3 separate regions of the Mus musculus genome follow, and all the other regions are reported to be linked to region 1. Evidence: microRNA targets listed by miRTarBase, many of them from high-throughput screens and not tested one by one. Region 1 holds a microRNA gene; each other region holds the end of a gene's coding sequence.
The links. Region 1 holds the annotated microRNA mmu-miR-3470b (UCACUCUGUAGACCAGGCUGG, at 2,775-2,795, opposite strand). A microRNA usually pairs through its seed, bases 2 to 8, with sites in the 3' UTR of a target mRNA and lowers its output. Matches are read on the target gene's strand: a 7mer-m8 pairs with bases 2 to 8, a 7mer-A1 pairs with bases 2 to 7 and ends in A, and an 8mer does both.

Region 1 (4,414 bases):
GACTCGCTAGAGTTGAATTGAAAACTGTTGTCATGGGGAGGTTAAGTTTTAACATAGTTAATTTTCACGTGGGGTTAAAATAATATTGCAGTAGGTGTTTTACATTATTTGAGCAAATGTAAGATCTTTCCATTTGCACCCTGTCGCTAATCAGCGTGTACAGTAGAAGAAATTCGGAACCGTCCCTTTAATAAAACATTCTTTCCCTAGCCTCTTCCAGTGGGCGTGGCTTAGGAACCTGTCGAGTGAGGTGTGACTTCAGCTCTGCAGGCTGACCGGCCCCCTGGAAAGAGGGCTGGTGCTCAGAACCAGGAAGCAACAACTGAAGCTTCACACAGCACTGGCTTTTACGTGGCGAAGAGCCCCGTAAAGAGTAGGAAACTGAAGTACCGAGTTTGCTTAGCTGTTATCAAAGTTTTGAAGCTCTAACTGTGGATAAAGACTCCATAGAGTACTTAGAATACCAAGCTTTCTGGGCCAGAAATTGATCTGCTGACTTTTGACTCCTATCTGATTACTGCTTGGTTCATCTTTATTTTGCTCAAGTTATCTATCTGCAGGCTGAACCCAGAGCCGCTCCGCTCCTTTGCAGGTAGGTGGTCGACTTTCAAATAATATTTAGGTCGGTTTTTGTTTTTTTTTAAGGCTCAGCTGCTAAATACTGAAAAAGTTGCGACTATCAGACTGGCATGTTTGAATAGCGTGATTGTAAATAGTCACGTTTTTGAGACAGCTGGACAACCTTGCAGAAATAGTCATTTTTAACAAATTAGCACCATGAATTAAATGAGTTTTGTTTTGTTTCCCATTAACCAATTATGTATTTACATTTAACTAATGGATGAAAATGTATGTTGAAATTATCTTGCTAATTAACTTAAATAGCATTTTGTTCTCAGGTTTTGCTCGCCAGTTGCATGTCTTTTACCGTTAGGAAGCTGAGTGTTCACCACCAAGTCATTTGTTTGCTTTAGTTTTTATCTTCGGAAACGTCTATTATTTCAAAAAAAGTTTTTGTGAACGGTTAATAATCTAACACAGTTGTGCTGAAAAATCGCCTTCTTCTGGTAAAGCTATCTAACCATCCTTTTGCGATATGAAAACGGTTCCAATGATGATGTCTCTGGAAGACTTAGTTAATTCACAGTATGAATTATTGTTATGAAAACAGAATCCACACAGAATCTCTGGGGTAGAAGGCGAGTCCCTTTAGGACCAAGGACAGGAGCATCCTTAACTGTCACTAATGGGCCTTTATATTTTTCTTCTCTGGATATTCTACTTGAGAAGACTTCATCCGCTAAAAGGACAGTTGTAGGAAATAGAGAGCATCGCAGAGTTTGTTTTCTAGATGTGTGATTTTTCAGTTAGAGTTCTCCAACCTGGGATTTCTACTCCGCGTTCACATAATCAGCTGGAAGCAAAGAGGCATGTTTTTCTTAGCTTGCCTCCTTTATTGCAGGTTTTTGAATATTTTTGACATTTTTGAAGTGTAGATAATGACATCTGAATTGTCATCAGCTGGTTTTGTGGTCATCTTGGCAAACTGGGATATAGCTGCCGCAAGTCCAGACCATTTTCCTTTTAAGCTCCCTGGTTCCATGAAGTGTAAGGAGAGTCATCTAGTAAAAACCAGGACACAGAGCTGCTCCTGGGAGGAGGGAAAGGCGGTGGTGGTTGTTGTAGGGGCTGAACACCGGGGCTGAATTCAGGGCCTTTATACATTTGGCCCCATTATATATTTTTACATTCAACCTCTTAACTTTGAAACATTTCTCTGATTGGGCTAGGAGATGACTTACTTGCTAGCTTCATAACTAATGTTACTTCTGTCCATCTCTGCCCTCCCTATGGGTTGGTCGTCTTCTCTCCATCTCTTCTAGTTTTTCTTCACGAATCCGTCTGTCCTCTAGCTTACCCAGAAGCCTATCTCCTCGGTGGAGCCTCATCTGGCCACCTTGGTCCTCAATAATATTAACTCCTTTTGCACTTCCCTATCCCATAGACTCTTCCAGCCCATTAGCACATGATCATGTGCATCTGATTTAAGAGTGCCCTGTATCCTTCAGACATGAGTACTAAATTCGGAGATTGTTTTTATACCCTTTGGATCTAGAGCGGTGCCACAGGTTTCATTCCCAATAAAGACCTGTGGAATGGATGGAAGATCGTATTGACAGTTGCTTCAAGTACCATGCTGTCTCTCTCTCTTGTCTTGCTTAATCATGTAATTAATTGCAATGTTCCCGGAGACCAGTCTGTTACTATGATATGATGTTATTTTCCCAAATAGTTTACAGCTTGCTTTATTTGGTGATTAAGGTTTTTTTTTTTTTAAGTGGGTCGGTGTGTGTGTGTGATGCCCATGGAATCCCGAAGGGTGTGTCAGTTGGAGTTACAGATTTACAGATGTTTGTGACTTGCCTCATGTGGGAGCTAGGATGTGGCCACTGGTCCTTTGGTGGAGCAGCAAGCACTCTTAACCACGGGTACATTTCTCGGCTGTACTTGGTAACTTTACCACTGACATGCTGTCTATAAAGGAAGCAAGCTAGAATTTACTAAAAGTAAATTAGTATTCTGAAGGTTGTTTTCTTGCATTTTATATTTTAGGAAAATGTAATTTGGAGCTCATTGGTGTGCAAAGTTCTAAAAATGCTTAAAATATTCAGATACAATCGTGAATTAGAAGTTTTGGTTCTCGGGCATTGGTAGCGCATGCCTTTAGTCCCAGCACTCGGGAGGCAGAGGCAGGTGAATTTTTGAGTTCAAGGCCAGCCTGGTCTACAGAGTGAGTGCCAGGACAGCCAAGGCTACACAGAGAATCCCTGTCTCGGAAAAAAAAAAAAATTTGGTTCTGAGTTAACATTTAGGACAACTCTGAATTGTGATCATAGGTTGTATGGATTTCAGATCAGTAATTAGCAGAAATGATAAGTAACTTACTTTTATAGAAAAAAAATCACTTTAAGCATCTTTACTGAAGTGTACTTCTGCACAGTAGCCTCTTTAATACACACTTTGAAAACCCACCATTTTCTAAGTGGAATGTGCCTTTTAGTTTCAACTTCTTTGGAGAATAGCTCAAGCCCAAGATCGGCCTTGAGAATGTGGTTAAACCCTGTGAGAAACGATTATCTGTTTATCGATTTAACTCTTGGTTTAATTATTTATTCTTACATTTTTGCCTACATATAGGTCTGTGCACCACTCGTGCGCCTGAGATGGCCAGAAGATCCCCTGGAACTGGAGTCATAGGTGGTTGTGAGCCACCATGCAGGTGCTGGGAATCAAACCCAGGTCCTCTAGAAGAGCAGCCAGTGCTCTTATCCATGGGACTTCCTCTTGAATGTCTCTTATCAAATGGGCATATTTAACCTTTCCTTTTCAGCGATGGGGATGGAGCTCTGCAGAGCCTTGTGGATGATATGCAGTTCTCAACCACTAAGCTATTATGCCCAGCTCCCATTAACCCTTTTTTTTAAAAATAGAAAATAGGGAGACAAATAGGCCAGGATCTATCCGAGCCACACCTTGACTGCTCACACCACGGCTCCTCTGACTTTGGCCTTTGTGCTTTGAATTACAGTTACGTTATCTGTTGCATTTTCCAATAGTCACGCAATGTTTCTGTCATCTTAGAGCCTGACCAGACAGGAGTTCTGGCAACTGCTCCAGCAGAACTATGGCACGGAGCTAGGCTTAAACGCTGAAGAAATGGAACACTTGTTATCAGTTGAAGAAAATGTGCAGCCAAGGTACAGTGAAGCAACGTAGAGTGTCAAGGTGCATTATGGCCCATCACAGTGGGATCATTGTAGGTCGTTTCAGTTCTGAATTTCTTTGAACTCATCGTTTGGTGCGGTTTGCCCTCTTGTTGGTAGAGTGCAAGTTGGGAGAGAAGAGACTCATTTGCTAAGTTGGTAAGCACGTGTGGGACGTGAAGAAATGTTAGAGATGAGGCTATGACTCTTAGAATTTACTACTAGAAAGCCTTTTTATTAAGGATCTGGAGCAGGGGCTGGTGAGATCTCACAGGAGACACTAGAGCAATTTGAGGGTTAGGGTGGTTTCATGACTTTTCCTCAAAGTCTCCCTAGCACCGTGGCATGTGTCCCACATTCAGTAGACACCGATCACCTTAGTCAAAGGAGCTGACCGTGCCGTGGGGGATGCAAGCAATGGTAATGTCAGGGTCATGTGCTGCTATAGTGTGATAAAGAAATTAGTAGAGAGATTATTTGGACAGCTGTTCATTAAGAAGTGTGAATATTTTACTAACTCTCCAAGTTAAAAAAAAATGTACCTTATCAATGTTAATTGAGACCATAGCCTCAATAAACAAAGATAATACATTAAAATTCTGTAGCATTTTACATTAGGCTAAATGAGAGAAGCCAAGATCCAAGGACCA
Region 2 (4,414 bases), not on the chromosome of region 1:
TCCTTTCCTTACCCCCAGGCTCAGAGCCCTCCGAACCCTTATCTGATCCCCCGAGGGATGCCATAGTTTTTGACAGGAGATGGGGGGATATACACCACTGAAAAAGTGACTCATCAAAATGAGTCCTCTCTGACCCCATTCAACCAAGGCTGCAGCTCCTGCTCCATGGGGGATGACGATGAGAGGTTCTGTCCCACATCCATTCGGGATGACCCAAAGCTATGACTTCCTTTCACTTGTGCCAGTGTCTTAAAAAAAAAAAAAGACTCATTTATTTGTATTCCATGTGCATTGGTGTTTTGTCTGTGTGTATGTCTGGGGGAGGGCATCAGATAACCTGGAATGAGTTACAGACAGTCGTGGGCTGCCATGTGGATGCTGGGAATTGAACCCCTGTCCTCTGGAAGAACACACAATGCTCTTGACCACTGGACAGTCTCTCCAGCCCTTCATCAGTGTCTTTTGAGGATGAGTGATAGGCAGGGAACCCAGTGTCCTCACTTTCAGCAGCTCAGTGTCCTCATTTTCAGCAGTCCATAGTTAGATGGTACCTCGCCTTGCATCTGAAAGGCCCCTTCCTCCAGCATGTGACATGTTCTCATGTCTTCCCAGCTATGGGACCAGCAACAACCTGGTATCACCTGGTAGCTAATGATTACAAATCGGTTGGTTGGAAGCTAACTTCCTTTCCCCCTTGGGTCAAGTCAGCCTGTGACATCAGAAGCATTCTACCACCGTGGCTACTTCTGCTGGCCATGATATACCCAGCATGGGTACTTCCCACTGTGGCTTGACCAGGTGGGCCAATGAGGCAGTTGAGGTCCAGGGTATGTGCCCTTCTCCTGTAGCCATGAGTCTGGGGTCTCTCTCTACAGGCATTACCCCAGGAAGAGCTTCACTATTCATCCGTGGCATTCAACTCCCAGAGGCAGGATTCTCACGCCAATGGAGATTCTCTTCATCAACCTCAGGACCAGAAAGCAGAGTACAGTGAGATCCAGAAGCCCAGAAAAGGACTCTCTGACCTTTACCTGTGACTCCTTGTCACCTGATCCTCTCAGTGGTGACTACCAGGTTCCAAGGCTCCCTGCTGGCTGCTGCCCTCAATGTCATGAGCCTCAGTGGCTTCACTAAAGATGAGCAGGAGCCAGGGCTCTGTGGGCACAGTCTCATCCCACTGGCTCTCTCCTCTTAGCCTGTATTTTGTTCTGCCTCTGGGTGTGGAAGACATCGATGCTGCTCTTTTGGGGCTCTGGGAATTGACATGGTTCGTATAGAACGGTACTTGTGTTAGTTAGCTTTGTAGTGTCAGTCCAGGAAGAACATCTGTGGTCACTGGGAAAGTGGGGGACCCATGAGACTACAAAGGAAGGGGAGTCATGGAGGTACTAAACACCAACTCCTTCATCTCACAGAGAAAAAAACCTAAGCTCTGAGGACAAAAGCCTGGCCCGTGGCACCAAGGTCAGGGGCAAATTCCTCTGGACTCATTTTTATTTTTATTTTTTGTTTTTTGAGACAGGGTCTCTCTGTGTAGCTTTGGCTGTCCTGGAACTCACTCTGTAAACCAGAATGGCCTCAGACTCACAAAGATCTGCCTGCCTCTGCCTCCAAAGGTGTGTGCCACAATGCCTGGCTTCTCTGAATTCTTAAGTAAAAGATGAAATAAAGTTTATAATATCTTTTAAAAAAAGATTATTTATTTATTATATGTAAGTACACTGAAGCTATCTTCAGACACTCCAGAAAAGGGCATCAGATCTCACTATGTTTGGTTGTGAGCCACCATGTGGTTGCTGGGATTTGAACTCAGGACCTTCAGAAGAGCAGTCAGTGCTCTTAACCACTGAGCCATCTCTCCAGCCCTAAAATACCTTTTTAAAGGGAGAAGAAATGGTTTAAATGATGTCTGTTACATGCCTGTAGCCCCCTATTAAAGCCCAGCTTTGAAGTCAGAGGAGCCTTTGGGGTTCAAGGGGTTGGGAAGGACATACCAACTGCTGTTCTTGATGGAACACACAAGAGTGTTTTCTTACCAGGGTGATTTTAAACTTGCATCAAAGATGACTGTGTTTCCAGGCTGCAGTAGCTACCAATGGTTTGATCTGCCCAAATGATTTTTCTTACAACTCTTTTTTTTTTTAAAGATTTATTTATTATTATATCTAAGTACACTGTAGCTGTCTTCAGACACACCAGAAGAGGACCTCAGATCTCATTACGGATGGTTGTGAGCCACCATGTGGTTGCTGGGCTTTGAACTCAGGACCTTCGGAAGAGCAGTCGGTACTCTTAACCACTGAGCCATCTCTCCAGCCACTTCTTACAACTCTTAACACTGTGCCAGAAGCAACTCCTAGGGTAAGCTGCCCCCAGAGTGGTAGGATGATGGCTATTTGTGACTTCTTTGAATTTTTTTTAAAGACAGAATTCTTGCTGGGTGGTGGTGCACACCTTTGATCCTAGCACTTGGGAGGCAGAGGCAGGCAGGTCTCTGAGTTTGAGACCAGCTTGGTTTACAGAGTGAGTTCTAGGACAGCCAGGGCTACACAGAGAAACCCTGTGTCAACAAACAAACAAATGACGGGATTCTTTATAGCCCAGATTAGCCTTTGAACTTGCTGTGTGGTCAAGGATGACTTTTTAGTTAATGTTTTATTGCCGTGAAGAGACCCCATGATCAAGGTGACTCTTATAGCAGAAAACATTTAACTGGGGCTGGCTTACAGTTCAGAGGTTCAGTCCATTATCATCATGGCAGGAAGGGCTTTCTTCTCCAGCCTGAATCCTTTAGATTTCAGTTCATGTACCCCACCCTCCTCCGCCTGTGCATGTGCTCGTGGTATGCACACCCATGACTCATCCCCCCTTCTTGTACTAATGTTTTGAGACATAAAAGGGGAAACACACATACACGGATGGATACACGCCCAAAGCCAGGTTCCACGGTGTGTGGGAAATGTGTCAGGACAGTAGGGACTATGGGTACAGCAAACAGAGCCCTGATCTGCTCTCAGCTCTGTCCCAGGCCATAACCCCAAACCCACCAGTGGTTCTTTTCTCTTGAAAGAGCAGTGGGCACTGGGACGCGCAGATGGGACTTAAGAGTCTTAAGAGGGGAAGTAGGGATGCTGTGGCCAAAAATAGAGGGCTACGCCCATGAACAGCTCGGACACAAAGGTTTAGTTGGGTGACTAAATTAGACTGCCAACTAGGAGGGATGGGTAGGGAAAGGGGAGCCCTGCTTCCCAGTGTGAGTCACTCATTGTGGGTGGCCCAAGTGCCCAGTCAGAGGCAGTTTTCATCACCTATGGACATGTCTCTTCCTTCACTTTCTTCTCCTCATCTGTTTCCTCTTCCTGCTGCCTGGGCCAGATCAGCCCAAGGGCATCTTTCATTAATCTCTTCATTCCTTCCTTCATTCTCCCATTTATTCAACTATTCACTCACCTACTCACCCATCCAACTGTCCATCCTCCCAACCTCCCATCCATCCACCCATCCACCCATCCATCCATCCATCCATCCATCCATCCATCCATCCACCTACCCACCTACCCACCCAGCCATCCATCTATCCACCCACTCATCCATCCACACATCCACCATCCACCCCACCCATCTATTTACTCACCTACCCATCTATCCACCCACCCATCAATTCATCCATCCATCCATCCATCTATCCATCCATCCATCTGTCCATCCATTCCATATTTCATACACTCCCTGCAGAGCATTTAGGGACCTGCTTCACAACAGACAGAAGACTGGAAACAGGGAAGCATAGGACAAAACCCCTGCCCCACATAGACTTTTGTGTTTACAGGGATATAGACATGGCCTTCTCTATTCACCCCTCTGCTTTAGGACTGTGGGCAGGGAGGGGCACTGACTCAGATGCAGTCCTCAGTAAACAGTGAGTGGGTAGATGGATGGACAGATGGATGGGTAGGTAGGTGGGTAGGTGGGTAGATGGATAGATGGGTGTATGTGTGTATGTGTGTATGTGTATATGTATGTATGTATGTATTATGTATGTAACAGTTTCCTGCTAAAGAACTGAAAAGCTGAATGCTCCTAATTTATGCTAAAGAGTGGCCATCAGGGCTGGAGAGGAGGCTCAGTGGGTGAAAGTGCTTGCCACACAAGTGCAAGGGCCCGAGCTTGGTCCCCAGAACCCATATAAAAAGCTGGATGTGTGGTCTGCTCAGTGGGTGAAATGCTTACCATACAAGGCTGGTGACCTGAGTTTGGTCCCTAGAATTCATATAAAGATGGAAGGAGAGGACCAAGTATACAGAGTTGTCCTCTGACCTCCACACCATGGCACAGGAGCCCCTCTCCCACTCCCACAAATAATCATTTAAATTGTAAAAATAATAAAAAAATAATGTGGAAGTTGGTTCTGGTT
Region 3 (4,414 bases), not on the chromosome of region 1:
TGGTGACCATGCAGGTTTGTTCTGGCTTTTCCCTGTAAGAGCCCGGGCAGTGCCTCTGTCCAGCTGGTCCCTAGATTCCGAGTATCTTCTTGTACCTTCTCACCCCACTGCCTGGGCAACCTGGTCTCCCCTCCAAGCCTGGCTTCTGCAATGCCCTCTATAAAGACTGCACTTGCTCTTGTTCTCATGTCCAAATTGATACTTGTCCTGCTGCCTCCCATGGCCTGGTCTTTTCCACACAGCCTTGGCGGTTCAGCTCTGACTTAAAATTTTATGAACCTGTGTCTTCACTGACCTGGGAGAACTCCACAGAAAAGGCTAGAGCTTTGACATCCCTTAGGTGCCCAGCGCACGAGTGACAGTATACACAGTTCTTAGTATAAATGTGGCCTCACTTAACCCTGTACATAACTGGGGAATCTAAGAACAATCTTCTTTGAATTGCGAATCAAGGTGCTTAAAGCCAGACAAAGCATCACATACAGTTGGGCAAGCTTGACTGGGGTGGAGGGGGTGCGAGGAGTGTTTAAACACCTCAGCCATTTATCTACGAAAACATTCTAGTTCTCTAAGGCTAACCTGGGTCCCAGACTGAGACCTTGTCTCGAAAAAGAAAAAAAAGGAAGAAAAAAATCCACAGAAACAAAACATTAGATTTTAAAGCATTTAATAATCATACTCAAACAAAAAGATTTTATTTTAAAAAAGAATAAATTTACATACACTGCATAAGCAAGACAGTTGAAAGCTTCCAAAATAGAAACCTGAAACACGTGGTCTGAAATACCACATGCTGTGATTATCCTGGGAAGATGAGTTGTGTATTTCGGCAAGAAAACCCAAGTTACCAGGCACAGTGTCAAGTGGTTTTAGTGGCTATCATGAAAGGTATTAGGTTAAGGGTCTTGCCTATGTCTTTTTCCAGCATAAGGTACAGGTCTGAGCAAAATGGACAGCGGCTTGGAAGGCCGGTTCTACATTGATGACTTGGCCCAGAGTAGTAGCAAGATGAGAAAAGGATGTGTTATTCTTCCTGATTCCCAGAGGAAGCTAAAAGCTTTGGTGTCCGCATAGGACAGGCCTAGACTTAACAGGGACACATTCTGGTGACCAGGCCAGCCCAGTGCAAGAGGGCCTCTGGACTAAGACAAGCTAAGCCAGCAGGGGGCACTCTCTCTCCAGAGAGAAACTGACAAAGTGTTTTGAAAAGAGACCCAAGAGAGACTTTACTAGGATGCCGGTGCTGCTCTGTAAGAAGTGAGTTTGGTGAATTGAGAAGGCTCACCAAAGGCAAAATGTGATCAAGCCATAGCATTTAAAATCAGTACTGTAGGAATCCAAAACTAAACTTGGCATCTACAGTGAATACTTTCTCCCTCCCTTTTCTTGTATCAAGTCCATCCAAGAGTGACCAGTCATGACAAATTCTTAGGACACTGTTTAATGTTGTGTGGCTAATATATTCATCCTCCATCTAAATTATGTAAACACAGCCTCGAATGCATTCACTCAGTTGTCAACTTCCATGTTGTTGGGCCTTAAACTTCCTAATCACCACATCCACCGCTGTGACAATACATACAGCCCTTCTGTTGCAGATACACGTAGAAGAAGCTGAGCCTTTTGTCATTAGGCTTCAGACAAACCAACTAAAATCACCTGTGTGAATATAAGCCAGCATTACAAGCTCTAGTTTGGTAGCTTGGGGGTTGGGGGAGAAACAACAGAAACAGCCATGCACAACTGGAGGCTGGCCTAGGCAAGCACACCTGTAAACCAGGGCTCCAGGCTCCCCAGCCACGGAGCTGAAATACTGTCAGCAAAACCTGGCAAGTGCTAGGCCTTTGCATTCCTGTTCTTAACTATGACGAAGAAGAGAAGAATTGTCAAGTTAAAAATGGGCATTTTGTTAAGAATTATTCTTTTTGTTTGTTTTTCAAGACAGGGTTTCTCTGTGTAGCCCTGGCTGTCCTGAAACTCACTCTGTAGACCAGGCTGGCCTTAAACTCAGAGATCTACCTGCCTCTGATTCTAGGATTAAAACCATGCCCAGTCCAAGAATTATTCTTCAGGAATTAAAACACTACATTCAGTACCAAAGAACATCATTCCAACCATAGACCATGGGACATACTCAAAATCAGAGAAAATTTTGGCTTTGGTGTTTACACTGAATGCAAAAGTTGGAGCCTTAGCTCTTTTGGGGGTCAGAGGGTGATTTGTCCAGTACGAGCATATAGTGAAGCACTGGCTTACTGACACCATCCCTCAAATGACCAATGACTACCACTTACTCGAACCCTTCGGGATGTCATTGCATCTGGTGCTTATTCCGAAGTGCTGAGCCCAGGGAAGGAGGTCTCTGCTGTGGGTGTCCTGCACACCTTCTTAGCTCTAAGGAGATAAGGAGGACCATTCTAGGGCTAACAGGAGCTACAGTTAACCCGCTTATTCTCTCCAAATAGGCTGCAGCTTTTCTTGTGCTAAAATTCTTCAGGTCTAAACATCTTAAAGTTCTTAACTGAAAAATCTTGCCAAGAAAGAGGTAAGAAGGAGTGGGAAGACTGAGAGGGAGTCCCTGATTTTGTCTAGAGGGTGAATAACTGAAGACATTTATACAAAGTAGCCAAGCAATGACGAAAGGTAAAGTCACAGGGATGAGGCAGTGTGTGAGGGCTTCCAGAGGACGAAGCTCATCCATTCTTGTGCTGATTCAGTGTCTTCCAGGCTTATGTGGAAGCTCAAGCAACTGAAGGTGTTGAAGGCGAGGCAGGTGAGGGCAGGAGTCGCAGCGTGTCCTCATTTCCACCTGTGAGGAGCTGGCAGCCCGTCGTGCGTTGCTTACACTAGTGTGGAAACCGAATCACTGGATGCTGTGGACTGTCTGCAAGGCAGATCAGCATCTTGCTTCACTAATAGTTCCTGGAGGAGATGAGTTGGTAAATAAAGCAAGCTCTTCCGGTGGCCTCATGGCTCTGCTACTATCTTCAGTGTCCTCACAGGAAACTTTATTTTAGAATGGTCTCACCACCCACTCAGGGACAGTCCAGTCTGATGACAGCACAAGAAGCCATTCTGTCCAATGAGTTGAGATTTTCCATGGTGCCACCCTTACTCCCAGACCAAACTCCAGTTTGGGGATTGAGACTCGGCATCAGGCAAGGTTGTAACTGAAAAGACTATCCTGCCTTCATAGTACCTCAAGTCTACTGGGTCTCTGGAGCTTGGTGGGGCTTGTAACCATTGCAAACTGGGCCACAATTCCTGTCCACCCAAGACCGTGTCCCAAGTCCATGTAACAGAAAGGGGAGGGGTGATCTTGCAGAGCTCAGCTGTGGTTTGAGCCTGGTGTCCTTACAGGTGAATCCCACAGCAGCCGTATCTATGTTACATCAGCAAAACAAAACTATGACTTAGGGTTTCCTTAAACAGGAGGCATTGAGATTACCTGAATCGACAGCGTTCTCCATTTTGCATCTCGCATTAGCGGACTAGTTCCTAACTGTCTTGGGCTCAGAGCAATCCCAAAAACCTGTGCAACATTGGCACAAAGGTTGTGGCACAGATGCCAACAGATGTGTAGGTAACAAACTTGTAAGGGACTTCAATCTCTAGTCTTCGCCTGGCCTCCTTGTTCCTAGTAACCACCTTGAACCATGAGAATAATACTTGCAGGGAGAGCTTTTGCACCAGTTGGCGAACCAAGAGGATCAACATGATTCCCACCATAAATTTGGTCAGACCTAAAACCAGCATGTCAGTGGTAAGGGGTGGGATGTTCTGAATGACAGGAAGAGATGGGGTGGGCTTGGACACGAGCTGGAAGAAATGGTTGATCCAGAATCCCAGGGTCACTCCAGCCCCAGCAGCCACGATGGTGGTGGTGTCTGCCCTGGTCGGGCTGTAGTAGTCAGACACAGGGTAATTGTAGCACAAGAGGAACGGTACAACTATGACACACACAGGGAAGAGGGGGCTGGCAGAGTCCAGGGAATCGATGAGGGTCCAGGCAGGGTAGGTCAGAGCAATGAGGACTGCAGTGATCAGAACGCCACCCAGGATATCCTGCCAGGAGAGAAAAGAAAAATGCCTGCTTAGCACGGGAAATGCAATCTCTACATGGTTTTACTTTATAGTATGTATGCAAAGGAAGTATAGATCTAAGAATTTAAAGTGAAGATAGGAAATACTATACATAGTCACCATGCTATGGTGTCACATACTCTCTTACAAGAGCACTTCTGTATTTCAAGAAGAAATTTCTGAATTTCTTTCTGAGTGAGTGGTTGATAGTTTCGTTGCCATGTAATCTTATTATATTCCCCTTATGTCACAAAGAATTGTCATAGTCTTTACAGGTGGCACCACCCTTTTTTGGCAGATAGTGTGAAGGCTCTAAACTCTTTACTGAGTT

Region 2: miRTarBase lists Cd300a as a target of mmu-miR-3470b. The part of its 3' UTR that is shown has no 7-base or 8-base seed match.
Region 3: miRTarBase lists Sgpp2 as a target of mmu-miR-3470b. Seed matches in the 3' UTR shown: 8mer at 1,979-1,986.

The regions. Positions count from the first base shown.
Region 1 is chr16:44,012,266-44,016,679 of GRCm38, reverse strand. It overlaps Mir3470b (microRNA 3470b), which reads right to left and starts at 2,828; the gene lies at 2,703-2,828. Gramd1c (GRAM domain containing 1C) reads left to right here. Exons shown (of 17, transcript NM_001359085.1): 6 at 3,643-3,758.
Region 2 is chr11:114,900,254-114,904,667 of GRCm38, forward strand. Cd300a (CD300A molecule) reads left to right here. Exons shown (of 7, transcript NM_170758.4): 7 at 876-1,693. The coding sequence ends at 1,037. Among named protein-coding and RNA genes, the nearest start is that of Cd300a, 12 kb to the left of the region's middle.
Region 3 is chr1:78,416,526-78,420,939 of GRCm38, reverse strand. It overlaps Sgpp2 (sphingosine-1-phosphate phosphatase 2), which reads right to left. Exons shown (of 5, transcript NM_001004173.2): 5 at 654-4,065. The coding sequence ends at 3,514. It also overlaps a transcript of Farsb not described here. Among named protein-coding and RNA genes, the nearest start is that of Gm51634, 62 kb to the right of the region's middle.